3 linked regions of the Astyanax mexicanus genome follow. The protein of the gene in region 1 interacts with the protein of each later gene in a pairwise test. Links are inferred from orthologs where the notes say so. Each region holds a gene or a part of one and is shown in the gene's direction. Other genes may lie near its edges.

The links.
Region 2: the proteins of ccndbp1 (region 1) and uncharacterized protein LOC103039245 interact in binary tests that used the Homo sapiens proteins (3 or more experiments, as listed by UniProt). The two-hybrid records come from large-scale screens. The link is inferred for Astyanax mexicanus from reciprocal best matches to the Homo sapiens genes CCNDBP1 and PIMREG.
Region 3: the proteins of ccndbp1 (region 1) and ccdc146 interact in binary tests that used the Homo sapiens proteins (3 or more experiments, as listed by UniProt). The two-hybrid records come from large-scale screens. The link is inferred for Astyanax mexicanus from reciprocal best matches to the Homo sapiens genes CCNDBP1 and CCDC146.

Annotation. Positions count from the first base shown.
Region 1 is NC_064412.1:55,152,194-55,162,541, reverse strand, and holds the start of ccndbp1 (cyclin-D1-binding protein 1 homolog), read left to right. Parts: upstream 1-5,499; 5' UTR 5,500-5,565; coding exon 5,566-5,671; intron 5,672-6,569; coding exon 6,570-6,629; intron 6,630-6,730; coding exon 6,731-6,810; intron 6,811-7,212; coding exon 7,213-7,294; intron 7,295-7,749; coding exon 7,750-7,846; intron 7,847-8,036; coding exon 8,037-8,110; intron 8,111-8,283; coding exon 8,284-8,360; intron 8,361-8,473; coding exon 8,474-8,733; intron 8,734-9,877; coding exon 9,878-9,938; intron 9,939-10,121; coding exon 10,122-10,168; intron 10,169-10,348. UniProt on the Homo sapiens protein: May negatively regulate cell cycle progression. May act at least in part via inhibition of the cyclin-D1/CDK4 complex, thereby preventing phosphorylation of RB1 and blocking E2F-dependent transcription.
Region 2 is NC_064424.1:13,213,374-13,224,465, reverse strand, and holds the start of uncharacterized protein LOC103039245, read left to right. Parts: upstream 1-5,882; 5' UTR 5,883-5,987; intron 5,988-7,433; 5' UTR 7,434-7,465; coding exon 7,466-7,753; intron 7,754-8,939; coding exon 8,940-9,232; intron 9,233-10,435; coding exon 10,436-10,531; intron 10,532-11,092. Other genes in the region: tmigd1 (transmembrane and immunoglobulin domain-containing protein 1), read left to right, coding at 1,648-1,923, 2,837-3,121, 4,059-4,162, 4,381-4,470. UniProt on the Homo sapiens protein: During mitosis, may play a role in the control of metaphase-to-anaphase transition.
Region 3 is NC_064409.1:35,911,868-35,922,941, forward strand, and holds the start of ccdc146 (coiled-coil domain-containing protein 146), read left to right. Parts: upstream 1-5,864; 5' UTR 5,865-6,072; intron 6,073-8,772; 5' UTR 8,773-8,775; coding exon 8,776-8,925; intron 8,926-10,070; exon of another isoform or gene 10,071-10,911; coding exon of another isoform or gene 10,912-11,074. Other genes in the region: fgl2a (fibrinogen-like 2a), read right to left, coding at 10,912-11,074. UniProt on the Homo sapiens protein: Essential for sperm flagellum biogenesis and male fertility.

The DNA of each region.
Region 1 (10,348 bases):
TACACCCAAATGATGTAAAAAAAAAAAAAGAAGAAAAAAAACATGCAAGAAGTAAAAGATTAACCCTGCATGTCTGAGTTAATAATTTCACAGGTCACTTTGTTCTCTCAGAAGGGAAATACATGAGAGTACGTTCACTTCATGCAGCTCCTCCGATTCATTGTAAAACTTTGACCCATATTAGCTTATGATGCAAGAGTTCTCCCCGGAGCGTCACCGGATGACGTGCTGGATGGTCGGTATTGATTGGGAGGCTGGTCGGAGGCTCGTCCCCGCAGCGCAGAGCCGAAGGTTGCTGCAGTTCTGCTGACGATTGTTAAACGTGATACGCTGTGCACTTGCGCCAGTTGTTTGGTTGAAACCCGAAGTTTAATTGGAATTTAAAGATAACCTGGGAGCTGTAGAGCAAGGTTCTATCTGAACTTATAGAGAACAGGGTTAAAGTTATATGAACTGCCCTGCACTGCAAAAAAAAAAAAATATATAATTCATTTTAAAATGTATATTTTAAATATTTTAAATATGATATCAGCATGACTGGTTTTATGTTTTTATTCATCTCAGACTAAAAGAAAAATTAAATAAAAGAAAATAGAATTACTGTTCATTAAAAACATCAAGTCTCACATTTGTTTGAAAATAAATGTATCTGTATGCAGTCTACATATAATAAAACTTAATTTAAAACAAGTAAAGTGCAGGTAGTGTAGGATATGACAGTGTTTTAGGGCCACACTTAAAAAAAAACAGTTGACTTTAAGAATAAACTCGTAATATTACAAGATTAAAGTTGTAATATTACAATATTAAAGTCGCAATATTATAGGAACAAAGTTATAATATTATGAGATTTAAGTTAGGAAAAGAATACACCACAAACATAAGCCACATAGGTAGAGAATGCTCCATCTACTGATAAACCATAAAACAGAAAGGCTGGTTACAGGTTAGTAGGGTTATGGTTATGTGTGCAGACAGACGGTACATACCAGACAGATACGTCTGTACCAGAATAAGTGAAAAGTGCTTAAAAAGGGCATGCTGCATATGTTTTTGCCTGATTATTCTAATTCAGCACAGGAGCATGAAATTATTTTAGTGAATATTTTATTCAGAGTGAAAAAAGTACATCAGTGCAGTAAATGTGTAAAAGATAGGTGATTGTAGAATAAAGTCTCCTGTCTGGTAGGTCCAGTCACAGGTTAATCAGTATTCCTGATTAAAATTCATGAAGACAAAAGTAAACTCCATGCAAGATTATTGCAAAATTCAATCAGGAGATAGATTAAAAAATGTCCAAGTCACTGAACACCCTCAGGAGTAGGAACACAGTACAATATAGTAGACGTGACCATGCAAGAGGTCAATATTAACTTTATTCTTCTTAAACAATTCTTTGGTTGAACAACTTTTGTGGCTTTTGTGGCCCATTGTCATGCTGCATGATCCACGTTCTCTTGAGATTCAGCTCATGGATAGATGTCTTGACATTGCACTTTCAGAATTTGCCATAATTTGCTATAATATATAATATAATTCTGGATTTGTCCTTCCATCAGTGATGACAATTGTGCTCTCTCGGGGCTCCGGCAGCTGATGGCAAGTTCCAGGACCAGGATTTGAACCAGTACAATCTCCTGATCGTACTGTCACTGCCTTAGTCTGCTAAATCACGCAGAGCCCCCATGTTTATTAGTGGTGATTTACACATAAAATACTAACATTTTGGCCTTTGGTTCCTTAAAAAATGTATGGTGCAGGGAATACAGAGCTAAAACTACAGAACGTGTGTAATGTTTGTCTATTCAAAAGGTTCTGCACAGTATACTGTCTGTTCCACCTGATAAACGACCCATTGATAAAAACTAAAGTCACTAAAACAGAGTACAGAGAGATCCAGAGATAACAGCACTGGTTATTGTAGAGTTTTATGGTCATAGAAATCAGTTAAATGCCTGATTTTTGCATAATCCTGTCATGAAGTTTAGATCTTGTTTTTAAATGCAATATTGAAAAAGGTTAAAATCTAAAACTTTAAAATGTAACATCTCAAAACAGCTGAAAAACAATCATTTAGCAACTTTGAATGAGTTTGTTTTTGAAAACATTACAAACCCTTGGGGACATCTTATCACCACCACTGATTAGGAACGCTGTAGAAGAGCACATGCACACGCTGTAGAAGAGCACATTCCTATTAATTTTTAAAAGCCTGATGGACTTTCCTGTAGGAATTATTAATTCGGTTAAAATGGTGTAGTTCACCCTAGCCCTAATAACCTTTACCACACATTTCAAAGGTTTGCTGATGCAAAATACTCATGTTTACCCATTAAGAAAAGAGGACATTGATTATTACCTCATTAATTACTCGCTATAGTAGTGCTTTAACCAGCAGAGTTCACAACAGATCATTATAGATTAGCTAAACGTGCAACCTGCCAACAGATTAGCTTGAATGAGGCATAAACAAAACACACAAGTAAAACTTAAAACAAGAAAAAGATTATTGTACAAATGAGTCTGTTATCTTATTTATTGAATTATTATTTAGTTCATTGTTTAGTTATTTCTATTTCTATTGTAAGTTATTTTATTTTTTTATTTGAATAAACAAGTCAAAGTCAAAGTCAAAGTCAAAGTGGTTTTTATTGTCATTTCAGCTATATACAGAGTACACAGTGAAACGAAACAACGTTCCTCCAAGGACCATGGTGCACATAAACACAGTGTAGACAGAACAATAGTGCAACAGTACAAAAGTGCAGACAGACAATACAACACAATACAGACAAAGAATAATAAATAACAAGACAGTGTGCAAATTTTGCAGTGTGCAAAAAAGACCAGGTGAGGTAGTAATAAGTCTATATAAGCAAAATTTAGTTTTTTAATATATAAAAGTTTTCTATTTTTAAAAAAATAGATATAGTGTAGTATAAAGGAAAGAAGGAAGGAAGGGCTCTAATATTCTATATAGAATACATTCATATGCTCAGAAACTATATTGCCCATTGACGTCCATTCACAGCTTTGTAGAGACAAGGGCTTTAAACATTGACAGCATCAGACCTGATAACCTCTTTCACAGGGTTGTTATTGTCACGTAGAGCTCAAACCATTGAGCCTGGGGGTTGTTTATCTATATAGAGGTTATTTGTCTAAAAGAACTTTGAGAGCTCGGTTTTAAAAAATAGATCCGGTGGGAGGAACAAATGGCCAATTTGCAAATCACATCATAAACTTCTTGGTTTAAACAATTACTTAGTTCTGCTCTATCGGCTGAGCAACAGCCATCTTTGCACAGACAACCAAGGCTACATAATACAGATAAAATCTGTTATCTTTTACCTCAGTGTTCCATTATTTGTCCACAAACAGTCTGTGTGGATTTAAGCCTTTGTTCTGGCATAAGTAGCATTATGAAACTTTTTTCCCTTTTTCTTACTGATTAAAATCTTAAAAAATAAAATAAAATGAAGATACAACACAGAATTGCCTGCATTTGACCATGATATCAGCTACTTGTTTATACAATGTTTATAAACATTTCAATAATTCTCACACATTTGTGACAAACTGAACATCTTCTGCCCATCTTTGCTCCTCAAAGATTTGTATGCCTTCTGCTTTTGTACCAAATTAGTGTATTCTATTTTCACGCCTTGCCCCTGTGCCATTTAAATAGCAAGTCAGGTAGAATTGAGGTGGGTTTAGGTATATTTCTTAGATATGGAAAACACAGGTGCGCCACTGACTGAGTTGAACCCTGACAACAGTCAACTAACTGTCAGACGTTCATTGCTATCTTGGCATTGCAGGGACGTTGCGCATACACACAACACACGCAGTAGTGCACAAACCCAAATTTTACCTAAAAAAAACTAAACATTGCTGTTCCCGTAAATTACCTGAGCACCTTCACAGAATGAACAAGCAGATCAGCTTCATCTGCTGAGAAGTTCAGAAGCCCTACGCCATTAAAATAGTTATCCACCAAAGACAGAGCACACCTGGCTCTTAAAGGGAATGGAAGTGACATGGTGAATGGATTATTTCACGTTACACCCAAAACACACACCTGAATAATTAAGAAAATTAGCACATGCCTTTTGGCATACTTTTCCTGTTGTTACGATAGCAAAGACACACTGCACAGTTCTGGTGGAGCAAGTGAGCAATGTTTATTGGACATTAGATAATGGTGTTATCTACCATTATGTAAAGTCTCCTTTTACAGAACTGTTAAACATGGGGAAAGAATCGTTATTAGTCATTTTCAATCCAAAAATGAGCTGATAATCCCTTATCTCAGTTATCTGGAACTGGATGTTGAGGTCTGTGTTAAGGTTGGTACAGTACTGTGTTGTGTGTTCTGTAGTGTAAGTCTTGGTATTATTCTTCTTGTCACGCAGTCTCTTTGTGGTGTTGTTGACAGAGTGAATGGGAGGGGGCTGTCGGAAGGTTCAGTCTGTTCCAGGGGGTGTGACAAAGTTCGCTGTTACAATGTGTTTGAACTGAAGACTGGTGAAACATCTTTGACCATTGTTTGAGCCCCTGGACTCTGGTTTACTGGCTTACTTCTCCTACATTGATTAAATTGATTTAATGTATTATATATCTCTATTTATGAGTAAATGGTGCAGTACAATACTACTGGAACATTACAGGTGCCAGTGGCTTTAATGCAGAAAATGAATGCATCTAAACCAGATATTTTCCAGGGACATTTAGAATTTTTTTTCAAGACATTGAGAAAGCATGGCTGCAAAAGAAGAAGTTTTATATAAATTTACTCATGTTCAATGATTTTGAAGCTTTCTGTGATGAGGGAGACATGTCTGTTCAGGATCTTGATTTGTGTTCACCTAACAAAATGGATAATTTATTTAAAAACTGTCACGTTCTTTAAAACGTACATTAATTGTACAGTACCAGTGAAAAGTTTGAGCACTTTTCTCATTCCAAGCAAGTGTCTACTTTAAAGAATCTAAAACATAAAACATATTTTGTTTTGTTTTTCTTTAGTATTAATATACAATGCAGAATTTTTAAATAATGAAATACCACTACAAGTAAGATGTGTCCAAACTTTTTTTATTATGTATAATGTATAATGAATTATGTAATATTATGGGCTGTAAACATTCACGGAATCTGAGAAGAATTATATAGAGCTTAAAAGTTTTGTATTTAATGGCTTAATTCTAAATTTTAATCTTTTTTATGTTTTGGGATTTTTTAGTTGGTGAAATGTGCTGTACATAATACAAATCCAAAATAATTTTCAGATAAACAAAAAATAGGATTCATACATTTTCAAATTTATAAATAAATTATATATATTATATATTATTCACATATATTATTGCAGGTGATTCACATAACTTATGGCCTACATTTTTATATATGTTAAGTTATTCTGCAATAATTTTTAATATATAATTTTAAATACATACAGGAGTAGGCAGTATTCAAATACATACAGGAGCCCCTCATGAACACATTCCGACGGAAACTAACCGGAAGTAGCCAGTGTTTTAGTTCCGCCTGTAGTTTACCTGCATGGATTCAGCTGCAGTTATGAGCGCTGAAAACTCGTGTGGAGATTCTTTACTGCCGCTACGGAACTTATTAAACGCAGTAAAATGTATTAGAGATCGGGTAAGAGGTAAGAGCGGCGGAGTTTCCGTTAATATATCTGATTACTGGTGTGCTAAAAGTAATGTAAACAGCCCTGGGAAACAGCTAGCTTAGCGTAGCTAACGCTAGCTAACTATCCCTTCAGCTGTCAGAAATAACTTACCCTAACGCAGCTTGGTTAGCCAGTTTAGCTAAATTAGCTAACGCTAAAGTTGTCAAGTTAGTGTAAATTAATCGTGTTGGTAGAAGAGACTGTATAACGGCCAAACCATTAAAGTTAACTATAACTAACCTAGCTATACTGGATATTTAAACGTGTTATCTTAAGACTGTTAGTTAGCTAGCTAGCTAGCTAAGTTAGCACTAGCCATCTGGGAATAACACTCTGTATCTAGCTACGTAGCTAACTGGCTATGTTTACTGAGTTGGGCTGGTATCACAGCATGTTTTGACATGATAAGGACTTAGAAGCACTGGGAAAGTCACAGTATGTGACAGCGATAGTGGAATAAGTAACGTTACACAAACCATTCAGTAGCAATACTCTTAGTAATTGACAAACTTAAGTAATTTATAGAAACAATTGCCTCTACATTACTTCATATCATTCACCACTGTTTTAAGTAACTTAACTTGTTCCTCACATTTCTGAATTCCAAATATTATCATTCTTGTCTATTCATCCAGTCTATTCAATACTGCCTTTCCATGTGTCTTTACTGTTCTTAGAGTCCTAACTAGACAAAATCCTTGACTAAACAGTATAGCAAGCAACAGATTTTGTTAAAATGTGAAATCTTAGTATTTGGGATTGAAACAAATGCACTTGCTATCAATTCACTGATTAATGTGTTGTTAGTACTGTGTATCACTGATGTAGTGCTATTAGATGTTAGCTAATAGTTCTTTTGTTGTTTTGTTTTCAGATGGAGAATCAAATGAGTCTAACGGGGACTTTAACTTACCAAACTTCTGGGAAACGATGAGTTGAGTGTCCTCATGTTCACATTTACTAAAAATATATTTTGGTTTGTGGCTTGTCTAAGGAATAATCCAACTGAAATATGTGTTTTTCTCTACTCCACAGCTCAGACAGTAAAGGCTACTTCACAAGAAGCTACAAAACTCAGTCTAGCCTTCTCCAAACCCCCACTTCCATCAGAGCAAGTACGTCAGGCTATTGCCACCATGTGCTATAGGGGTGGCAAATTTTTAGATTCTTATATGCATCTTGATTTAGATGTGGATGATTCTGAATCTATTCACAAATGCAAAAAACAAAATAGATTCAGATCAATACATACATAAAATATACACTGTAAGCACGGATAAGTTGAATTTACTTCAAAAAAATTGAGGAAACCGGTTGCCTTAAAAAAGTTAAGTAATGGGCAATAAAAACTTAGGTTAGCATAACTTAGAACATCCCAGTCAAACATCCCAGTCAAACTCAGTTACATTAAAATATTATTATTTAAAAAGCATCAAAACTGCCCTGTGATATTAAAATACAGTAAAAACCCTCTATTATATATTTTGAATAACAATGACTCTCTGGTCTCATTCAAGGATTGTGAAGTGTTAGCAGAGTCCATTCAGAAGAGCATTCTGGCGTTATCTACAATTTATTACTGGCTGCCTAAGAGTGAAGGTAAGTTGCTCATTCTAATCACTAATTTTCCTGTCTAACTAAACACAACATTCTACATAGATTTCAAGGCAAACATGATAAAATCAGATATTTAAGTTATGTTTTATTATTGCCTGTTAACCAAGAAATCGTGGCATTTTAACTGTGTGATTTGTATTCAAGACACATACCGGTACCTTAGAGGAATAATTGAGTAAGTGAATAATTCAGTATTACCTGTGACCTCTAGCAGTGGGTTTTCTCTAGGCTTTGAATTCTAACTACAAAATAGAAATTCAACACTTAACTCAATAATCAACTCAAGACCTTTCCTAAACAGCAAATGCAATATTTTTGTTAAACCCTTTGAATCAAAGCTTTAAACCCTTAAATCCATTGAGGTTACACTTAGACACAAAACTGCAGAAATTGCATCATGGTCCAAATATGTATATATGGAATTTGGTTTTATACAGGCATTACTCTGCGTAAGCTTGTCAGAGAAGCCACTGTGGAAGTTTTGGATGGTGTTGTTCAGCTGCTGGAGATCCTCCTGTCTTCTCCTTTACAGAGGTATTTAAAATGGTCTAATTTCAAGGCAATACATCTTATTGTTCATCTCTGATAATAATTGTTGTTGTATTACATTACATTACATTTAGATAATGATCTTAATGAATCCTACTTAGAATTTTCACCGTATTTAATTTACATAATAAAATAACTTGATATATTTACTTATTTGCTTATTTGTTTGTTCTAGTTTATCTCAGGAACAGCTAACATCTACAGGAGGTGTCTGGGCAGCATGTGATCAGTTTGCTCAGCTGCCAAGGGGTAAGTTGGGCTACGTTAATGGCTTTTATTAATGCCTTGAAAATAAATTTAAACACTGTTTTTTTACCTTCAGGTGTTTGCTTTCTGAACAATTGTGTGTATGACCTTTAATTTCATTAAATTCTTAACTTAGAAATCTGTATGTAGAATTTCCTTGTCCGTTTTCCCAACAGATAATCGCACTGCAGTGTTACATGTATTGAGTTCATATGTTGGAATGGTGAAGGATGCGCTAGAGGAGATGAACCAGGTGGGTAGCCAATTTCTGGTAGAGCATTCGTGCAAAGTGCAGAGTCCTGTAGACTCTAAATCTAATAACTATACGTCTAAAAACTATTCCCATCCTTTGTGTTCTTCCTGTAGGCACTATCTGAGGAACAGGACCCTTTCAATGATGTCCTGGATGATGATGAAGATGACCTTGATGCCCGTGGAAACCAAGACACCTACTGGTCCCAGAGTGACCGGCAGCTCATTTCTAAATGTCTGGGTCTCATTAAGGCTTCTGGAGCATGTCTGCGGAAATTATCCAGCGCTGTTAATAAAAATGGAAAAGTCGACACACCTCACAGCGTTACTCAACTAGACGACCTCGCTGATATCACGAGAGAAATCAGCCCAGGGTACGTTTTTTTTTAAAAACATGAATTATCTATTGTGGGATTACTTCTTTTTGGGTACCACTTTAAAATAAGACTCCTTTATAAAGGGTTTATAAATAGTTTATAAAGAAGTTTATTAATGGTTATAAATTAAGTTGTAAATACTTTAAAGCATTAATAAGCACTCACAACACACACATAGAGGGATGAAAATAACTTTTTTAACATGTCTAATAAAATAATATAGAAAGTCAGTTTAGTCATTTCATGTTATTTAAGTTGAATAAATAAAGTTATTAACAGAAATGGTAATGATGAGCTTCCAGTAGGGAACAGTATAAATGAATGTGGTACACGACAGGCCACAGTTGCCCTCTTTATTTATGTGTTGTAACTGCTTATTGATGGGTTATAACCTAATAAATAACATTTCTAAACTATTTATAAACCCTTTACAATGTAATGCACATTCAGAGGTCTTGCACAAAGTATTGAAGACCAATTGAAAAAGTCTTATGATGAATAGGTTAAAACAAAAGTATAATAAAAAATGTATTATAGTTACTGAAAGTAAAACCAGAGAAAGGCATTTATAAATGTGTGGTAATAAAAAAAAGTCATAAAAGAGCTAACCCACTGTCTGACATTATTCTTTACATCTAAACTAATGGTTAAAAACCAATACTGTGTTTTTGAAAATTGATAGAGTATTGCAAAGCATATTGCTGTACTGTTTCAATATATCAGAATTAGTAGCATTAGTCAGCACTATTCTGGCTCACTTTGCCTACACTCATTATTACAGCTGTACTGCTCATATAAACCAGAGCTGATTCTCTTATCAGTGATTCTCTTATCGAGCTGGTCTGAAAAATGGTTTAGCACTGCCAGCCAGAATAGACTGGTGTGTCTGAGCCAGATGTTTGGTGAACTTTGTCGGGGTGGCACAGAGATTTTTTTGGGCCACTAATCATCGTGGCAAGTTACATCTTTTTATTATGATTATTTCAATTGCATTTTATTAAATTGCAATTAATTGATTCTTATTTTCTGCTAAAACCTGTAATTGTGCAGAACGTTTGTAATTTGACCTAAAAATGTATATGTATTTTCTACAGAATTAATTGCTGCTGTTCTTTGCCTGTTTTTTTATTTTTTTCTTCAGTGTTGATGACCTGATCCTGAGTCTTTATCCACCCATAGACTGCTCCGCTGTCGACCAAAACGTAAGACGTTTAAATGATTCTGCACATCAGTATTTTCCTTATGTTTTGCTGAACTTCATTGTTGATCAGAATTAAGACTTAATTCAAAGCTCAGACTAAATGAGTAAGGCCTTTTTATTCTGTCATTTTAATTGGGTAAAATATTTGTATTTAATCAATGTTTCCTCCTTGTTGTTGTTTAAGGTGTGCAAACTGGCCGCCATATTAAGGAAAACACTTGAAATCACCAGGTAATGCAAACCTTCTCACATTCAGTTTTGATATAAAATTGAGGCAAACTAGATGAAGATTTTCATGCATTTTATGTTATGAAACTAGAAAAGTACTGAGTTCTGATTGTAAACACAGTAAATAGATTGAAGCAATTCTACAGTTCAGACCTTCTGCTAAAATTACACTTTAAAACAAAA
Region 2 (11,092 bases), on another chromosome or scaffold:
TTTATATTTCTACTGTTGAAAATATGCATTTACATTGGAAGATTTATATTCAAATATAAAAAAATGACTTCAATAACCTGTTGTTAATGTAAATTTACAGTGAAGCTTTTTCTTACATCCAGCATCTACCAGAACAGGAAATATAGTTTATTAGACGTTATTCTTCTTGTTCTGCGTTACAGTTTCTCTAAAATAAATAGATAACCCTTTAAACTTCAAAGTGATCAAAGAGTCAAAGTGATTACAAATCAGATACTGTGAATTTACTGATGACTAGTATAAAATAAAGAAATTAAGCCCAAAAAGCTATTTGTAACTATACAATAATAATGTAACTGCAACAATAACTTTTCTCATTAAATGTAACATAAGAAAAAATAACAAATTCTAAGATTTCAAACTTCTAAGTAGTACAGTAGTTAAAGTATAGTCATAGTACTTACCAGCCACCTCTATTACCTTAATGCTTTATTTTTGAGCTTCCCTTTGACCACATTGTTTCCCCTCCATCATACCTTTTTTACTGATTAACTGCTAGAAGTTAGAGCTTTTTATATTGGATATTGTTGCACAGGTTCAGCTTAGTGTATGAGTTAACATCAGAAACACCTTCTGAAGCTGATTTGTTTTTAATTTTTATAAGTACTGTACATTTTGTATGACAGTCAAATAAGTATAAAATATTCATATTCATAAATCAGACTACCAATCAACTTATCTTAGACTGGACCCAGGATTTTGATCAATTAACAGGTTGACATCTCTACTTCCCTATGTTTGTAATATATGTGATTATTTTTTATAAATATACAGTGTGCATAATTGAAAAGAAAAGGGGCTAAAACCATAATAACTGAGGATGGGCTAAATCATTTACAGCACTTTTTCTAAACCCCTAACCAGGGAGAAGCAGCTTTTTCCTGATTCAGCACGAAACGGGTTTGATCATTAGCTTGCGTGTTGACTAAAAAGAAGGGTTAAAATCTGAACACAAACTCCAGTATACGCCAAATGTGAGCATACAATACAAATGAATTGATAACCAATGCTACTCAAAACAATGAATCAAAATATAGTAATAAAATGAATAAACCACATTAATAATATAACATATGATATATGGCCCAAAAAAGACAGAGGTGGCCAGTTAGTACATGTATCTATAAACATAGAGGAACATAATCTTCATAAACAGCAATGTACCTAATTTCCTTGTATTACTTGGATGACCAATGGATACACAGATCTGTACAGCTCTGTGATTGGTCATATCTCTGGATTCTGGGGCTTTCATTAAATGTTAGACTAAGAGTGTAGAAAAATAGAAGAACAGAGTCTAATAAACTTCAGTTCTTTTGCTTATAGATGCTAGATGTTCAGAAAATTTAAATGAAACACAAAGATTCAAATCTTCACCAAGAAAATGCATTCAAGCACAAGTACAGTATGTTCATTTCGTTTATCATATAAATAGCTAAAAAGAAGGCATAGCATAGAAAACTATGACATGATAACATTTCATCAACATTGTCTCACTATTTGCATTGTATTTCAAACTACAGACATCTGTTTGATCATGGTTTATGATTCAGTCCTATCCACTGTTTGCCTTTTTTGTCTAATTTGTGCTTTATTCAAATTCACCAGTCTTAATTCAGTCCAATCCAGCAGCAGATGGGAGCATCATTAAGACAGAAGTGGATCAGACGGTGTCTCTGAGCTGCATGGTTGAGGGTCTTGCAGATGGAGGTGAACTGGAGTGGTACCGCAACAAACGACTAGTGAGCCTCACAGATGAGAACCGTATGGAAGAGAGTCATCTGTGTGTGGAGCCTGTTACCACAGAGGACAATGGAGCCATCTTCACCTGCCAGCTTAAGGCTAATGCTAGCCTGAAAGCCTCCATCCATCTGGAGGTCAGCTGTAAGTTCAGGGGAAGAGTGGCACAAGAAGGGGGGTTACAATACATCTACAGTTTTATCTACCTTTTATCTACAGCACAACAATTTACTTATGTACCTGTTGTATCTGTAAATGGAGAACAATATGAGTTTCTTATCCTCTGTTCACCGGCCTGTACTCTTCAGTATTCTGACACTGGACTACTTGATAGATGTGAATACATTTCTGTTGTTTCTGTTATCATACATGTTAAATATAACAAAAAACTACATTCATATGAAAATAATTACTATTATTAAGTTGTTTGTTTAGGTAACACCTATTAGTTAAATTACTGTAAAATTAAATTCAAGCACAATATCCACGCTGCATGAATAGCAGTAAAACAAGGTTTTGGGTAAACAGTAATTAATCAATAAGACAAAAACTACATGTTAAACTACTGTTTTAACATTGTTATTTCAAAGTATTTGTAATTTAACTATGCATTCATTCTATAACTTAATTGATACAAAGAAAAACCCCACTGTCCTCATTTATAATGACATACGTACCAAATATAGAATATATCTGCCCAAAATCCTTTATTTTATTCTAGTCTTTGATACACAGAGTGCATTATTATCATTATTACATGTTGGGTTATTGATTTCTGGAGAAATCTGGTAAACCTTTCTGTATTTTCAGTTTGGAAAGCTCTACTATAAACAACGCAGATTATACTGAATGTTAGACAGCTGTTAAAATGACCCCCCCCCCACCTCCCCCATTACAGTTAACCCCATCTGTGCTCAAGTAGTAGCAGAAACCATATGTTAGGTTGTATCCCACTGTCTCCTGCTGTTAGTAAATACACTTTTTTATTTGAACAAGTTTGTTCTAATGCTTATTAATCATTGACAAATCTATTATTTGTGAAATCTCTTTCTTTCAGATCCCCCAGATCTGAACGGCAGTGAGGAAATGCATGTTGAAGAGGAAAGTGATGCTGTTCTGTCCTGTAATGTTCAGGCCTTTCCTCCAGTAGCTGTAATCTGGAAGAAAGATGATGCTGTGCTAGATCTTTCCACCAGTACCTACCACACCAGCAATGATGGCGTCACCGCCAAGCTGTCCATCTACAACATCAAGCGCAGTTCACACCAGGGCCAGTACAGCTGTGAGGCAACTTCACCCACCTACGGACTAAAGAGCAAAACCTTCATCCTCATCGTTGGAGGTTCGTGTGTCCTTAAAGTAATCCTCATAATTTCCAAAACTGCCTATTCACCCTCTCTCAGCAGGCTGTCTAGGAATGATAGCGCTACCAGAGTGTGCCAATTTCTCCGCAGTTTATAGTGTTTTTTTTATGTCCCAGTGTCCTCCACTGATTTTATAGGTAGGTTTAATTACTGGTAACGTCATATTCCTGTTTTTATATAGAGGTTTCCTTGTATGGCCAGTTTTAATAGTTTAAGCATGAGATATAGGTACTAATTTTAAGTTTGATTAAATTCAATGCAATTCAATTTAATTTTCAAACGTCTTTGTATGGATAACCTCACTGTGGTTGCGTTTTCATAAAAACACAAGTTTATCCATTTTTATTTCTCCAAAGCAAACAAATTACAAGATTAAGTTAAGCAAGCAATGAAGCAATAGACGATTTACTTAAAGAATAAAAAAAGGTTTTGCCCATTATTTTTTTAGTACTTTCCTTTTTCCCTTGGCACTTTGTTATATTAAGATGACAAGAATAGAAATATGACTTCATAACAAAATTCTGTATAAGTGAAATGTATGCATTTTGAAAGCTTTTAGATTTTAGAATACTAAGCTTTTAGAATACTAATTGCAAATTACAAATATATACTAATCTAAAATACTTAAATTGTGATAATATTTCACTGTCAAATGTAATTTAAAACGACAAGTAAATATGAATAAATACACACTGCTAAAAAAAAAATGTTCTGGCGCTTATTTTTTTAAGTGCAATGTATTAAACAAGGGGTGTACAAATGCAATGCAACTGAAATATTCCAAGAGAACTCAAAAGTAGAGACTACTAAAATATTCTTATGCTTAATATATATATTGAACTTTGGAGACTTAAAAAAATGCAGCAAGTTTGAAGATTCACTGAGTACAATATACTGGCTTGTTTCTCCTAACAGATAAAGTAATGAAGTTCCCCCTGTGGCCCACAATTGCTGGCATTGTGGTCGTGCTCCTTACAATGCTGCTAGCTGTCATTTCCAGATGGCAGAGGGTTATGAAGGTAACACATTTCGGCCTCAAATCTAGTGTTGTACAAATGTGTTGGCACCCTGGAGCCGATTTCATATTTTATTGATTAATGCAGTTAATGGATGCAGTGTAAGAAGCAGCATTTAATGATCAAAACACATTACAAATTACAAAAAAAAAAAACATTATTCAAAACACCAATTTGCCCTGTTTAATATGTTTCTCTCTGATTCTACCATTCTCTCACAGAACAAAACGTGTCTCTTTTCCCTCCACAGTGCTTTAAAAGAATCCACCATTAGTGACCATCACCTTTGGGATTCAAAGTACTGTTGCTGAACTGAACCACAGGCCTGCCCTACTGGAATGCTACTGCATAACAACAATCTCCAAACAAAACTTCTCATATGAAACTCTACACATGTAAATAAAATTAATTTAAAAACACACCATTACTGTCTGCATCAAGTCCTGCATTTTTGGAACTTGTCATTTGATAGAAGTATTTGAATAAAGTAAACCATAAAGTTTTGTAGAGACCTTTCTTTACACTTGTAAAATGCAGATCTAAATGCTAATTACATTGTGCAATTGCTCCCTGAGGCTCGTTAAAAAGGTGTTATACATTGACTGCTGCTGAGTAAAAAGGAGACGCTGCCACACCTGGCACGTTTACAGCCTGGTATCTCAATGTCATGGCAATATAAACCTATTAAAATTCTAACAATTACGAATTCTCAAGGCCAGGTGAAAGGTTTTCCTCAATACGAACTAAAGGAAGGGGTCACTGTAAATTTGAATGTGTACTGTAAATGTCTGTAAATCACTGTCTGGCAAAAAAAAAAAAATCTTGTATCTCCATTTTTTATGTAATTCACTTTGACATCCTTTGAATCTGGCAGTTGTACTTTACATTATGCCAAAATTAAATGAAGTATGGACTAATAGAAATGCTCCAAAGTGAATAAAACCTTAAAAGTTGCTGTTAAAACACAAATGTTTTGTGTGGTGTTTTGTTCGCCAGCCACCATTGCTGCTGTACTTGCAGTATTATCAACCATTGTGAATAACTGTTCTAGGTATGAGTAGCTCGACTACTATTTTGCATTGCTCTGTAGGATAATAATGCATACCTCATTTAAAAAACTCATGGATATATTATTATACTCTATATTACATGTTAGCTAGCAACATACTCAAAAACTTGTTAGTTCTATCTATTAGTAACACCACATATATTAATTGTTCATTTTAAATCTAACAGTGTTATTTATTAAATGGTGAAAAAGTTTGTGTATTGTTTTAGAAATGCATTTTTAGTGGGGCATTTCTCAATACAAAGAGAAAAAAACTACATTGTTTCATAAACACCACATTTTTTTTGTTTTTTAAAAACTGAATTAATGTTTTTTCAAGTACTACTACTCATATTGTGTGCATTTTCTTTGTATTTTAGTTGCAGCTGTTAATTTCAGCAGTTACAAAGTTACTGGCTGTGTGAATAAAAAAGGAAACAGTCCGTTTAGCATAACAATACAGCGCCTGTTGGGATGAATGCAACAATGCAGAGCATTGGAGCATCACCTTTATTCGGCCTATTTGGCTTGTTGTCTGGTTTTAATCGCAGCATGACGGAATAATAGACCAATCAGAAGTGGAGGGAGGGACATATGAGGTGAAATATACCAATCGTTGAAGAGAGTGTTGGGTAAATTGGCCAATACAAGGATCAGGAGGCGGGGCTTGTGGTGCTCCTGCATATTGTTTAAGGGCGGTCCGCCAAATTCAAACAGTGAAACACGGAGAGAAAGGGCTGCGGTCGGTCCGGTGCTAAAACCCTGCAGAAACACACAACGGTAAGATATCGGTCTTTATCCTTTTTTAGCTGGGTTTTTATCTGCAGTGAGTCTTTTATAGGAAGATGTTTGTCAGGGAAACAGGTTAAGGCTGAGGATCAGTATATAACGTTCAAATCCAGGCTGGGGTATCTTACTAACCTTAGCTAACTTAGGTTTTTTTTTTCTATGCCAGCTAACCTAGCTAAGTTAGCACAGGTCCCGGTGTAATGCGTATCAATCTTGTTAGTAAGCTAACCTAGCTAACTTAGCTAACTTATCTGATTTCACTCTACACAGGATTACACACGAAGGTTAGCTAGCTAGCTAGTGTAATACAGAACCATTGTATTGATTTTTGTGAGTAAATAATAAAACATTGAGATAATGGTAAGATCAAAATCTTCATTAGCTAGGTAAGCTAATTTAGCCATTATTTTCTTTTACCAGTGTTCTGAATACCTAACGTTAGTCTTCCTGATAGTGTGCACTCTTTCCTGATATCTTTGTTTGAGTAAAATTTTGCAGTTTAAGTTTTTGATTGTATTAAGCTAAATTTAAAACAATTAAATTGGCTATAAAACACATAATTACATACATACCTACATTTAGTAAAGTTATGTTTTTTATTCAATTTTTCCATTATTTAGTTTTCTTATTTTAGCCTTTTGTAAACAGAGTTCCAAGAAAAATTAAAACTTCAATTTTTTTTTAATTTTATGTGTCTTTTAACACATCTAATGTTATAATCCAACTTGTAAACTGAAAAAATCTACACAAACTACATTATAAAAAATAGTTTTTGTGACCAATTTTCTAATTTCGGAAAATTAACAGTCGGAAAATTAAACTGCTAAATGTTAGACTGACCAATGTCACTTTACAGGCTCTGATTTATAAATGGTCAATATGTAAATAGTATTTGCAAAATGCATTAGAAGTGGCAGATTATTTAAACAAAGTGATTTTTTTGAAATTATTATTACAAATTCCCTGCATACCCTACATACAAAAAGGAATGTACAAATCCAAGGCTCTATGTAGTTAGTTAACATAGCTACATTTTACCAGCAAATAAGGTGTTCCCAGGCATAAGGGTATACTGCACTGCAAATTTTTTGAATTAATGGGTTAAAATAGCCTTCTTGTGTTGCAAATATTTACATACAGATATCACAATGATGATAACAAAATTAAATTGCCTAAAGTGTTTAACTAGCTAACACTAGATAGGTCAGCTAGCTAGCTAGCAAGTTTAGGTTAGTAAGTTTGCTAGGTTATATATGTAGCTAGCTATTTTCTTACCCCTCAGATGTTTTAGCCAGCACTGCTAATTAACTAACTTGTTAAAGAACATTATCGAATTTTAGTTAGCTAATAGCTATAACACTTATGTCTAACCCATATGACATTAAAATGTTTACCCATGTACAAACGTTCCTCTTTCTGGGTCCCCTCCTTTCCCAGGTTCCCCTCCTTCCCTTTGTTAGACTCTCAGTATGGCGGCTGTGGTAAGTGGTCTTTGGCGGGCTCATAGTGTCCTGGCGGACTCGGAGCCGAACAGCTCTCCTGAAGCTCCTCAGCAGAACCTCCGCAAGCTCCGCTCCTCCAGCTCCCTCAACTCTCTCAGGATGTCCCTGCGAAAGAGGCTGCCCCTTAAGACCGTCCAGACCAACACCAATGTCCCTGAGAATCCCACCTGGGAGACCCTCGAGATGAACAAGAAGACCAGTGCTGTGACTCAGATCAAACGCTCCGCCAAGAACTCCATTGGCAGCGCTTATCAGGTACTCTTCCATTTAAACAACTGCCTTTTAGCCCTCTGTTTTACCTGGGTTGGCAGTGTTCCACTACACCAAGTAACTATTATCTATTCAAAGAGCTCAACTCTCTTGGCCGTATTAGTGCTTAGTGTTGGTTTTGCTAGATTTAGAAACCCTAAGGTTGCATCCTGCAGAAAATCAAGTTCATATGTGACAACAAGTTATTAGGTGAGGGAATGAGATCCTAATGTGTAGCCACAACTTGAAGTTTAAGCACGCACAGTTAAAAAGAAATGGGATTTCACTTTATGCATTTATATCAATAAATTTGGGTGAGTGGAAAAATGCATCACAATATTTAGGGCATTTTTAATTTAACAGTATTTGCAAAATGCACTAGTAGTGACAGATTCTTTAAACATGGTTTTTATTTTATTTATTTTTCTTCTACCAAATGTCCTGTCATCCAGTTATACACCACAAATTAAATTAAACCTATGTTCTTTAAGTACTGGTGATATCCACAATATGCTCAGAAAAAGCATAACATTTACTATAACAAATTCACTACAATATGATAAAATATTGTCATATTACCCCACCCTAGGAATATATGTGTATGTTCAGTGTTTTTAATGTGAACATATGGTCAATACAACATTTGTGAAACATGCAGCAATGTAGTGTTTCCAGGATTTCCACATGTCCTAGAAAGTTTAAAACAAAAAAAAAGGATAAAGTTAGGGAACCTGGCTACAAAAACAATACAAAAACAACAATGCTGACATATTTTTAGTTTTAGTTTAGTTGTGATTTTTACTATAAAATGTTGGGCCCAGTTTTCCAAAAGTGTCCCAAGACTCCGCTAATACACTCATATGGGACTCATTTGGGTGGAACCTGGGCTAGGTACGTTTCAGGGCGAGCTGGGTTCCGAGATGTTTTTTTCACATCATGTGTTTTAGGTTTATTACGTGTAGGATCCATGTGTAGTGTACAACCCAGATGAGGCCCATGTTAAACCCCTACTTGTCCCAATACCAACCCTAAATATCCAATTAACATTTTACATTGGTATGTGTTTTTAGTATAGTAACTACATCAAATGTAAGTTTAAGAAATTAGTCATAAGTAACATTTATGTGTTGACTATCGTTTGGATTAAACTTTTTTACCAATTCTATAAATGCATGTTTCTGTGTACCCACAGAAATTTCAGAGAAGCCGAGAATCACGAGAAGAGTGTCTGGTGCGGACACCAGGGAGAATTATCGAAGGTGAAGAAAACGACTGTACAACTACATGCACCCCTAAACGCCCGGCTTCTCGCAGTGCTGTTACCCCAAGACGCACTCCCAGGTCTGCAGTCAAGCACACTCCTCGAGGAGCACGCACCCCAGAGGCCAGTAGTTCTGCTGTGAGAGCAGTACGAACCCAAGGCGGCAGGAGACAGCTGGTACGCATGGCGGCTCTTAGAAGCCCATTCGCATCACCTAACAGGAGGTGAGTGGCCTGTATACCTTTTAATGGACAAGCATATGACGTGTATCTCATTTCTTTAAATGTGCATCATCTCCTGTCCTTACATTACATTACATTTCTTCTTCTGAAGATGTGAGGAAGCAAAGTAGCTTTTTTTACTGGTGGTAGTGTACAACAAATTTTTAAACACTATCTTCAGAACATTTAAATAATATATGCATGTCTATTGTGTTTCATATTGTAGGCTTCTTAATATTCTTAATATTGTTCTTTACATTTTTTTTATTGAAATTCAATCTTTATTTTGATTGCCGGTAGCTTTTATACCATAATACAATATCCATATCCAATTACGGCGCAGTGCAGCTAGAGAGTTTTTAGCATAGTCCCATGTCCCACTGCAATTAAGATGTACACACACAATGCACTTCTTGATTGTTGCTCTGGATATTTCCTCGCTCATCAATTCCTCCGAGTGCATTTGAAGAGCTGATTCATCCTTAAAGATGGTGGATTTAATTGGTTTCTGGGTCGCAACAGTGAAGAATCGATGAGACTTCAATTAGTTGAAATCTACTCTTTGTTGCAGCGGTCCTTATTTCGGTCTCATTAACTTGATGGTTTGGCCCTGTAGGCACTGATGTTCACAGGTGCCTTTATACTAATGCCTTTATTTTACCTGGAACGCTGATAGAAAAAAAAGAACTACAGTATTTGCTTTCATTAAGATACTAGGAAATTATTCAGTCCAATATGAAGGTTAAAATAAAGAATATTGACTGGAGGAAGTAATGGTACTTAATGGAATAGAATATATAGGTTTTTTTTATGTGCAAATGGTTTGAATTTAATTTTGACAAAGTGCACACAGTATTGGATATTATAGTCCATTGTGTTGACTCGTGGCATTAGGAAGGATGGCAGTATATTAACAATAAAAAGCTTTGTCTTGCCATTTTCAGTAGATTTTTTTTATTTGCATTGAGAGGGAGAAATGTTTACTGAGGTTGATCTGTAATGTAAAATTCAATGCTTTTTTCCCCCCTTATGTACAAATGAAAAACAACCATACAATAACATGCATGTTTTGGAATCTGTAACTATCCACTTTCTGTATGATTCTATGTATTTTGTGCTCTTTAAAAAATCAGAGTAATTTAACTGTGGGCATTTTAGTTGTGTATAATGTATGCATCACTTCATCAGTGTCCCCTTATATCATAGGCAATTTGATCAAGATCTGGACTGTGTATCCAAAGGACTCCGGAGACTGAGGAGTATATCGCAAGCTTTCGATGATGTCATTAAGAGAGATGACCGGTGAGTTGATGGTTCTTATTTAAAATTTAATCCCCAGATTCACAGTGACTCAGCAGCTTTTTGTGTAGTAAAAAGAAAAAAAAGGGTACAGTAGTATGAATTTGTGAAAGTGGTCTGTTGAGGGACATTTCCCCCCCCCCCTCTTCTAAGTTTTCTTAAACAGTAAGTCTTAACATTCCGACATCCTGTTTTCCCAGTTTCTTGGTGGTGATGTGTCTGTTTCCTGTTTATTTGGGTGGGTGGGTCGGTTTTTCAACGGCTGTCTGCTCTTACTGCAGCAGTCCCCACTGCTCCCTCCCTTAAAAAGAGTAGGGAGTATCTGTAGTTGATTTAGGGCAGCATGTACAGCTTATATAGTGCTCACACACATACATGTGTTAAACTGTAGACAGTATATCCTCCTGTTCTGGTGCTGTACATGTTCTTAATGCTCTTTCACGTTAAAACCCTTTTTATAGACCATTTCTGCTTATTTTACTGGTAAAATGGTTCTGTTCATAAGCAAATTTGATCCCAGAGGGTATATAAATTGCATGTGTTGGCAAAAGTATGTTACTGTTA
Region 3 (11,074 bases), on another chromosome or scaffold:
CTACTAATTTTATTTGATTTAGACCAAAACTTTAATATTTTAGGTAATTGAATTTTTTTATATTAGGATCACTAGAACATAATTCAGTTCTGAAAGGGTTGAATAGCTGTCCACTGTAGTGATCACTGCACGAAAGGGCTAAACTAAATTTGGCTTACCTATACTGTGTTTAAATAGTTTTTTTGGGCAATACCACAGAAGAACCACGTTTGGTTCCATATAGGACCATTTTTATAATAGAGATGTAGCAGTATAAAGAACTTCCAAATCAATATTCTGTAAGTTTTAGGGGGTGTAAGTTATTCTCTGGTGAGAATATATAATTCCAGCATGCATTCGCACCAGGACACTGATATTATTCATTTGAGTACTTTGTCCCCTTTGTCCCCTGTAAAATAAGACAACCTTTCTAAAGTTTGTTTGTGTTATAATTGATTATTAATTATTTTAAGGCATTTACAACCTAATTAGTAACCATTAATAAACAAATTGTATACCATTTATAAACCCTTTATAAATGTAGTCTTATTTTAAAGGGGTACCAAAAAAATATTTTTTCAATTTGGTAAAATCAAAGAAACTCATCATTTTTAAGTGTTCTCTTTTTTTCCAGAGCTGTATGAGCAGGTGTTCCCAAACCTTCTGTGTTTACATGCACTGAAAAAGAGATGCATTGAATTAGCTTAATTGCAATACATGATTTAAATATGAATAAAATGTATAATGATAAAATACAAAAATTCTGGTTGTTGACTTGTTGATTTAGACTACAGTTTTTTAGTCACATGGAATATGACTTATGTGCACATCTGAGTTAAATTAATTCAGTGTTCAGTGGCTGGCCTGAGAATTTTCTCTGTGGTCAGTGGGTTGAAACATGTTCAGCGCTGGCATAGATTTAAACTGTTGACAGTCTCTAAGGTCTGGGTTGAGCAACACTGCTATGGAGGATAACAGCACTGTGGTCTGAGATAATTTTGTACTTTTGTATAAATTTCACATGAATTTTTTTCCTCTGCTCTTCCATAAGACTCTTGATGCTGGCAGCATTAGACGTGGGTAATTTCTTCCATCTACCCCCACAGACACAGTGGCCAGTGCTCAGCAATTGTTCCACCACAATCTTTTCAGCTGGTTTTCTACCACCCATCTTTGTCTTTTACACACACAAGTACTATTTTAGAGTGTCTACACATGCTTTACTTTTAATATCCATTTTTAATTCTAGATTTTACCATTTACTCTTCTCATTAAGTGTGTATCTTAAAAAAACACCAGTCCAATGTATTACAGTTGCAGCCATTGGTAAATCCAGTACACTATTCAAAAGGAGTGATATTACAAAAGTGACACCTATGGTTTTCTAAAGAAGCTCTATTTGGTCCTCTATAAAAATCCTTTTTTGGGGTTTTACAATCTAATCTTTTCTCTGCATCACCTTGTCAACAGCTTGGATTGTTGGTAGGTTTGGGACGTAACAGAACATAAGTATTTTTAACAATTTTTTTCATTAGTTGGCTTGATTTGTTATTTTGACCTTTGCTCACCCCTAAAGCCACATTTCAATAAGTCAATAAAAAAATTCTGGTTCATGCATTTACACAGTGTCAGAAGGTTTGGGGAGAGAGCCCACTCTCATTACTTGTTACGACATGATTCTAGACCGGGTCGTAACAATATGAGACATTCACAGAAATCTAAATATTTTATGATCTTCTTCAGGGGTTTTAAAAAGGTTTAATATATTTGTGCTTTCTATTCGTTGACAAATGAGAACAAACCTCTGTGACTAAACAAAAACTTCCTTTTTTTTTTTTATTATTCCACCAAAAAACTGAAATGTCTTAGTACATGTAATATTTTAGACATTTATTGTTGTGACATTTTGTGACAAATTGTGTGATCTATCTGTCTACATTTTAAACTAAATATTGCTCTGTTTAGCTATGAATCGTGTCAAGTCTTTATGTATTTTTAAAAACATGTGGCATTACTGTACATATCCTCTACTCTGTGTTTAGGATGGTTTAGGAAGCCAGACAGTCTGGAAAGTCAATCAAGCCTTCTTTTCCAGTGTGCTGAGGACAAGCCCCTTCCATGTCATGACATATCCATATGTGGATTTTTAAAGATAATTTAGTTTAAGTGGCATTTTGGGCTAAATTTGGAGAAACAACTGGTCATATTAGTTGTGCTAAGCTTTTAAATTGTATTTGTTTGACATGTTTATCGCAAAAAGCTAAAATCTTGTACATTTAGCTAATAAGCCTATAATTTGCAATGGATGTTGTATAATGTTGATTACAACTGTATGTTACAGATGCAGCAGATGGAGATTAGGTTAAGAACTGCTGAAGTATTTCTTTAAAGAACTATTTGTGTAGCTCTGAAAGAAAGCTCTTTAGTGGAATCAGTCCAAAAAACCCATGAGACCTATAGCATAGACATTCTACTGTCTAATGTCTCATATATTTGGCTCACATTTGTTATTTATTTGCCAATGTCTCTATTCTCTAAGAACCAATTTTGTTCTATTTATCATGCATTTATGTCTCTCTCACGCTCTCTCTCTTCTCTCTCTCTCTCTAGTTCTGTTTCTCAGCTGTTTTCGGAGTTACCGTAAGCAGGTCACTGCTGGGGGCTGTTCTGGTCAGGCTTCAGAGACAGAATCTCCCACATGCTCGTAAAACTTTGTCTCTGAGAGGGGTACGGTGCCACTTTTCACTGCATGCACTGATTCATAAAACCACAGATGTTTTCTCATCACGGCTCGTGTACCAAACTCATGATGTAATGTGGTACACATTTTTGTTGTTTTTTGCTTTTTTCCTAAAAAACAAAAAGACATTTTCATTAGCTTGATGGAAGTTCCTGGATCAGAGCATACATGTGTAAAACGGCTGACAAAATCCAAACACAATTTCTCATTTTACAATTGTTGCTTTATATTCTACAGCAAGGACACACAGTGTTGCTGATGCAAAGCAGCAAAAAATGATAAGACCACTCAGAGTGCCCCCTAGTGGAGCATGTGCAACCTGTTAAACATGAGCGAGTCAGTGAGAAAGTGAGTGAATTAGAAGCCTACCAAGATAGCAATGAACGTCTGACTGTTGACATCTGTTTCCATTGCTTGTGACATTATTAGCTGAAGCCAAGAAAACATTGTATCCACAAGAAATATGCTGAGGCCTTAAGATAGCAATAAGCATTGCGACGTGTCTTGCGCAGAGAGTTCATAAACTAAAAGTAAGGTCCACTTTAAAATTGGGGTTATCTAACCCCCATGCTTACGGTTTTCTCCATGCCTACAGTACTGTCAACACTAGCTAAAAAGTAATAAACCTTAATGAAAATATTAGCTCTCTGGACTATAAATGATGCTGTTTTTTTCTGTGTTAGTCTGCCGTTAAATCAGCAAGTATCTCAATCAACTTGCATTTCAAATTTGGAACCTGTATAATGCAATATGTGAAACTAAACCAAACCATAGATCAACAATTCTAATCTTTTTTTTAAGACATTTTAAGTTTTTTTTAGGGTCCACATACATCCTGTTCACATAAGATACGAAGCCAGCTAACTGCTAAAGTAACTTGCCATTAAAAAAAAAAGTTCCTGATTTAAGAATGGCTGGAACTTCTGACAGACATTCTCTTGAGTACAAAGTATGCGAAACAGTCATCTTTGCAAAACATATGGCAACTATAAAGTTCTGCTCATAAACATTTGCATGGCATTTTCCTGATGAGCTGAAGAGAGGAACTGATTATGTTCAGGACTGTGGAGACACCAGCAGAGAAGATGAATAGAAGACAGGATGGAATTCATTCATGGATGAGTTCCAAGGTATAGGTCAGGACACATCCTTGAGTAATATGAAGAAACTTATAGTCAGTTTTCTACATGATCTGGCACTAATAAACAGGATAGGAAACAGATATGTGCAAGGGTGAAAGGTCACAGTACATAAAAAGGATATGATCAAGGCAGTTTGGTGAGCTCGCCAAACAAAGCTGCAATAAGGAGGTAACAATTAAATGAAGATATACTTTGGTTTAGGAAATGGAAAATGAGGGACAGGACTTGGAAAAACTAAATTAAAGGGTAGTGTACTAAAATAAAGGGAGGTCTGACTTGTGGCTTGGCTTGTGGAGAGACAGAAGGCTTTGAGATTTGGCAGATGATATTGTTTTGTTACCGATAAGCAGAAGGAGAAAAACAGAAGGGTTTATTGATATGGACAATTCTCTTATCACTGTAGCAGTAAAAACTCATTGGTTTATGATGTTATGCTGGGAGTTATTTTACAAAATGGGCTAGTTCTGGCCCCTAGAGGACACCTTAGGTATAGTCAGGGATGAAACCAGTATATTTCTGTAGTTTACCAGTGAGGAGGAATGTAGGGCTTGCAGGGTGGCAGGAGTGTATTTATACATAACTTTTTACTGGGACCCAGTTAGGCTTCCCCATATGGGCCTTATCATTACAGCCCACCTTAATCAAACATGGGTCCCATCTGGGCCTCATGTGCAGAGTTCATTCTACAAGAGTTCATGTTTAACCCCTCCTCATTTCATCACTGGCCCTGATGGAGCCCATTACTGACATCCATATGTGGGACCAACGTGGAACCCATTTGCTCTTTTCATGCAGCCGCCATTTTTAATTGAAAGTGAGGCTTTGATGGGAGGAAGTAGAAGTAAGTCCACACTCAACAATGGTGTGGACCACATATCTTCAGCTATAACCACGTTTAACCATGAACCATCTAGAAAAAGGGCTGAAGAGGGATGTTTATTAACAAGAGCAGGATACAGCAACTGCATAGAGGGGTACATCACTAATATCGTAAAGTGTTAAGGTTTTAGCCAACATTAGCTAACCTTGCTAATGCTAGCTAGCTGGGGCTAGCCCGACTCTCCAAGTCCGGTGAAAAGTGCTGCTAATGCTGCTAGCCCAACTCTAAAAAGCCTAGTGAACATTATGTAACTACATAAATATATAATTCTGGAAACCTTAGTTCTTTAAACATTTTTCTAAAGCATTAGCAGCAATGTTGACAAGTTATAGCTAGCTAACCTAGGTTTAATTTATAACATGCTAACCTAACTTTAATTTATAACTTATAACTAGCTAACCTAGCTTTAATATATGTTATAACTAGCTAACCTAGCTTTATTTATAAATCATAACTAGCGAACCTAACTTTAATTTATGTTATAACTAGCTAACCTAGCTAGGAAAACGTGGGATAATACAGGCAAACACGGGGTCAAACAGGCAAACAAGAGGGTAATATAGGTAAACACAGGGTAATGCAGACAAACACAGGGCAATACAGGCAAACATGGGATAATACAGGCAAACACGAGGTAAAACAGGCAAACATGTTAGTATATATCTTGCATTCTACCTCATTGCGTGCACATATGTTTTTACTGGTACTGGTTTGTACATATGTTTTACTGTGTTTTACATACCACCTTAAATACCCTGTAGGCTCCCTGTGTGCAGTGTAAAACCCAGCTGGGGTTCATGTTTATCCCCTCCTGGTCCTATTATTGGCACTGATGTGGCCCATCACTGTCATTTGAATCTGTGTACAAACAAGATCTGCATGATCATCCAAAACCAAATGCCAGCGTTCACACTTCTTCTCCCATCTGAAAACTCGATGGAGCAAATATCTCGATGTAGATATTGTGGTGAAATCACATATTTTGTTAGATTTAAGCTTTGACTATATGGATTGTGGTGTTAAGCACATCAGAGTGTCTGTTTTTTCAATCAGTCATTTATCTCTTGCATGTCCTCTGGATCTACTGATGCTCTTCTGGCGGCCTCTAGTGGAGAGAGCTGTATCTACAGTCTCGAGCGGTTGGTATGGAGACAGCGGCAGCCTCCTGATCAACAGAGCTCAAACTGAGATTTAATAGTTTCACTGTTTTAGTGAAGCGCTTTATAACAGCGAGCTTTAAACAGATTTATCTTCCTGTGGAGGTGTGTAGCTTTATTGTGTTTTTTTTTTTTTTTTTTACCGTGAAGCAGAAAACCTATTCTGGAGAGACGGTAAGTCGAAGGCACTTATTTAGCGTAACTAAGAAGCAACAATAAATGTAACGTTAACTGTAACTAACCGAGCTAAGTTAGTTAGCTTAGCTAGGTTAGCTAATCACTAGGTTTGGTTTGTTAGCTAGCTAACTATTACTTGTTAGTTAAATAACATAAACTAGTTCATTAAGCTAGTTAGCTATGTTAATTAGCTGAGTTGCCTGTTAAATGAACTTTACCCACACCGCGTTTTTCAACTCAGTTAACGAGAGTAAACAGCTGGGTTGTGTTGTGGGTTGTTTAAGTGTGTGTGAGTGTGTGAATAAATATGACAAATTCTCTAATAGTTTGTCACTGTTTTCCCTAATTGTCAATTTAAAACAAATAAAGGCCATGCAGGTAGTTACCTACACTTGTAAAAGTAAAGTATATTAAGTATATTTTAAAAATATGCTTAACCTGGAAAAGTACATACTTTTCCAAATTAAAATATGTACTTAAATAAATACCAAATGTACTATTTTTGAACAACTTAAGGTAACTTAAGTTAAATATATTTCAGTTGTAATTAAGGTAACGTTATATTTAAGCACAACGTAAAAGCATTAAATTGTGCTTTTGAGTGCTTTTACTTCTGTGAACTAAAGTAGATTGAAGCAACTTAAGTTTTAACACCTTTTTTAATACACTTGAAGTATATTGTAAGTGTACTACTGTGCGTATTGATGCACATAATGTGTACATCTTAATGCTACTGGAAAAAATACACTAAAGTGCTCTTTAAGCAGTATTCAATGCCATTATATATATATATATATATATATATATATATATATATATATATATATATATATATATATATATATATATATATAATTTTTTTTTTTTTTTACTTATTTACTTATATTTATATATCTATTCCTCCCCCACACCACTGCACCTTGTTTTTGTCTCATGTATGTCTATTTGTGTCCCTGCTGTATTGTACACATAGTGTCTCCCATTTTCCTTTATTATATCTATTATCTGTACTTGCTGTAAAATTGGGAAGGAGAGTAACGTCATTTCAATTCTCTGTATGTCCTGTACATATGCAGTATTGACAATAAAACTACTTGACTTGACTTGATATATATATATATATATATTTTTCAATCAACACATCATTTAAAGCATTGCTTAAAAATACATTTTATGTAAATACAGAGAAAGTATATTTAATATATATTTTTTATAAAGTATTTGAAATTGAAAATGCACTTTTAGTATTTTTTACCCAATTTGAACATACTTTATTGCTCTTAAGTATACTTACTTGCACAAGGGTGCAAGTAGCTAAGCTAAGAGCGTAGGTAAACTAGTTAGTAAGAAAACTATTTTAACTACTTTAATGGAAAGAGACACTTTTGCCTTCTTTAACTGTATTGAAAAAGTATTTAATGGAAAATGTTTATTGGAACGAGTGTCCAATACTTTCAGTATTGGACACTCGTTCCAATAAACATTTTCCATTAAATACTTTTTCAATACATTTAAAGAAGGCAAAATATCAAATGATGCTATGAAATGTGGAACCAGGCAGTAACTAGAATATTTAAATCTGACTGGTAACCTATATATTAAGTAGTTTTTTTTATACTTTTGTAATGATTGCTGTATTTATTTTATAGAATCTTCATAGCTTAAAACATGTGTGCTTATTATCCTTGGTGTGCTATCAACAAATGTTTTAGGTTTGTTTGTTTGTTTAGATTGATTCGTATTATTTTTTTCCTGTACATTTTAGTTACATTGAAACCATTAAAACATTAAACAACAAAAAAAAGAGCTGAGCGCTCCACTAGCTATCAAAATATAGATCAAGATAAGAGAATAAAAAAAACAACAACATATTCTTAGAATAATTTCCTTTTTTCTCAGAGTGGGTTGAATCAGAAACAATAACAAATGCACCTTTTTTCCACTATTTAATGAGACATTGCTGCTGCTGCTGTACCAACAATGTTTACTCTTTTCTTTTTTTGTACTCACAACACTTTACACATGCATATGCACTTTACTCACACAACGTATTTTTTAATTTAATAGTGTTTTTCTTTAATTAGCTTTACTGTTATTTGTACTTCAATGTGTATTTAACTAAGCAAATGATCTGGGGGTTCTGCAGTTGGTCAGGTTTAGGTTCAGCAACAGTATGTGCTGAAAGAATGAGGTCAACTGACTACCTGAATAAACTGAATATAGACCAGGTTATTCCATCAATTTATTTCTTCCCTGATGAACACGGGCATATTCCAAGATGAAATATGCCAGTATTAACGGGGCTGGATTTGTGAAAGAGTGGTTCAGGGAGCATGAGATAATACTCAGACCCTCCCATCATCAATGCAAGATCTTGGTGAAAAATGAATGCAACACTGGATTGAAATAAATCTTGTGACATTGCAGAAGCTTATTGAAACAATGCTACAGCGAATGTGTGTCGCAATCAAAGCTAAAGGCGTTCCAACCAAATTTTTGCCCAGGCAGTGTACTGCAAGGAACTGCAACGTAAGAATTGTATTTATCAGCGTAACTGCTTGTTTCTGCTGTGCATATGACAGTAAAACTCTTGAATCTTGAATGTAGAGAGAATCTATATAAGAGGCAGCCAGCTGTCTATAATCAGTAAGGGTCAGTAAACTGCGAATGACTTTCCCCATGTGCTTGTTTATGCAGATCATGCGTCGACCAGAAGGCGGCAGTGCTGGAGAGGATGAGGGGGCGAGTGAGCCAGAAGTACCTATCCAAGCATTTGCTCCAGAGGCTGATTTACAGGAGGAACCTCAAAGCAACATCTCAGCTAATCCAGACCTGCAGTATATTGAGGAGGTACCAGTCATGTTCCATCATCACAGCTCCCATATGGGCTCTAGAATTATTCTCAGCGTGACCTGTAGGTTTTGATTCCAAAGCACAACTTGATTCCACTTGTTCAACATCTTTGTTTTAGACTTAAAATAAAATATAAAACATAAAAATATGTAAAGTATTTTTATTTTTGTTGACAAATAACTACCATTATCATACTGAGTTTATGAAGTTTGCCTGCTTAAAATACAACTTTTCCCCAAATGTAGTTAATTAGCCAAGACACCTTGTGTTAAATTTAGGCTACAAGGCTAATGGACGTTTTTATCCCAACACTTTGCATCAACAATTAGCAACAATGCTGGTTGGCTATGTAATGATAATCAGGTTTTATGTGTTTTTTGTTTGGGCATAAAACACAGATACCATTCTGGCTCTTAGATTCCCTTTTCTGCTGTCATTAGCTGTATCTAACATAATTTAATATTATGGCATAAAATGATGCATACAAGTGCATGTATTTTTACATGTGTGAATGCAGAGTTAGCATAAAGCTCGTATAAGGGGAACACTGTTTTTTTTTGTTTTTTAATTACACATAAAATTGGTCTATGCATTAAATTAATTCCAAAGATTTTGTTTGATGCTTTGTTTAATTGTAACTTTTATTTGCTGCTCTTCCTTGAACATCACTTTTGCCTCATTCTTTTCTTTCTGTGAAGTCATTAAAACTAACCTTAGCTAAGCCCAGAGAGACCTGCAGTTATTTGAATAATGTACTTGAAGCTTTTACATGAGTTACAGCTGTTGAGAAAATTTTGTCAGGCCGATTGCACCTGTGAAGATTCACCAGTGGTTCAAGGGCAAGGGTTCTCAGTTTGCAGATCATAGTTCGGTGGTTTTAAGTCTAGCCCGATATTTCAACATGTTTTTGTCCTGCTTGTTAAAATCTCTTAACATAAGTGTGGTTTTACATTCAACAAGGCTGACTGTATTCTGTCATCTGGATCTCATTATCTGTTTTGTATCAGAACTCTTTTTTTTTTTTTTTTGAGTTGTTTGTATCCACAAGAGACTGGTGTTCCTGCATGTTTTTTATTCCTAACTAGGCGTAACACACATGGTTCTACTTGTTTAACTGAGCCCTTCCAAGAAATAAGCATATATCAACAATTTCTTCTTTATTTACAATAATATTTCTCACTTCATGAAGGCAGTTAAAATAAAATAACTTATAGTAGTAAAGAAAACAACTGATTTTACCGAAAAAGACAAATGGAAGATATATATTTATTTTAATCTTCAACAATTAATCATGTTTGCTTCTGTTTAGTTGGAGTGAAGCCCAGCAGCCACACATGGCCACTGAGAAAGCTTAAGGTGAACAAATGGTTAATTAAATAACTGATAAACTTTTTATTTGCATGTTCATGATAATGTCAATGAATGGGTATGAGAAACAAATTAAAAATGCATACAAAACTAAAATATGATAGAAGTGCTCCAGTATAGCTCCATGTACAATTTTAGTCAATGGAAAAGCATAAACACAACTTTAAACTGAAGCCATTAATCTTATTTCTGATAAAGCAAAAATATTTTGACACACATAAGCCAGTAATCACCACCATCACAATTTAACACGTTTCACACACAGTATTGTAATCTTCTTGTTTTACTTACAGTGATACTGACAATCAAAAAATAAATAATGTACATTTCCTCCTGTACTTTAACAGTTTATGCTTTACAAAACTATACTGCAATGAAATAATGTGACAAAAGATGGCAGTATTAGTCAAATACACTGTGCAGGAGCACTGTATATGACGCCAATATTTGCTGCTGGACTCATGTATCTATATGCTTTATTCACACCATAAGCATTTTTTTCTGTGTATAATTGAGATGTTGTTGTTGAGTAGAATTATTATCTGATTAAACTGCAGACATAAGGTGCTTAAATGCTTGGGAAACCAGTGTCACTGCTGTGGTGCTCTTGTTTCTTTAGGGTGCATAGGTCTTTGGTCTGATCATCATTGTGACGGTTTTGAACGCTCGCCTGTAGTTGGTGGGGTAGTACTCGCTGGTTATGTTGTGCCATGTGCTCCAGAAGATTCCATCTCTCTTCCCTTTGTATCTTTTGATGTAGTATTTGCCATTGAGGTTG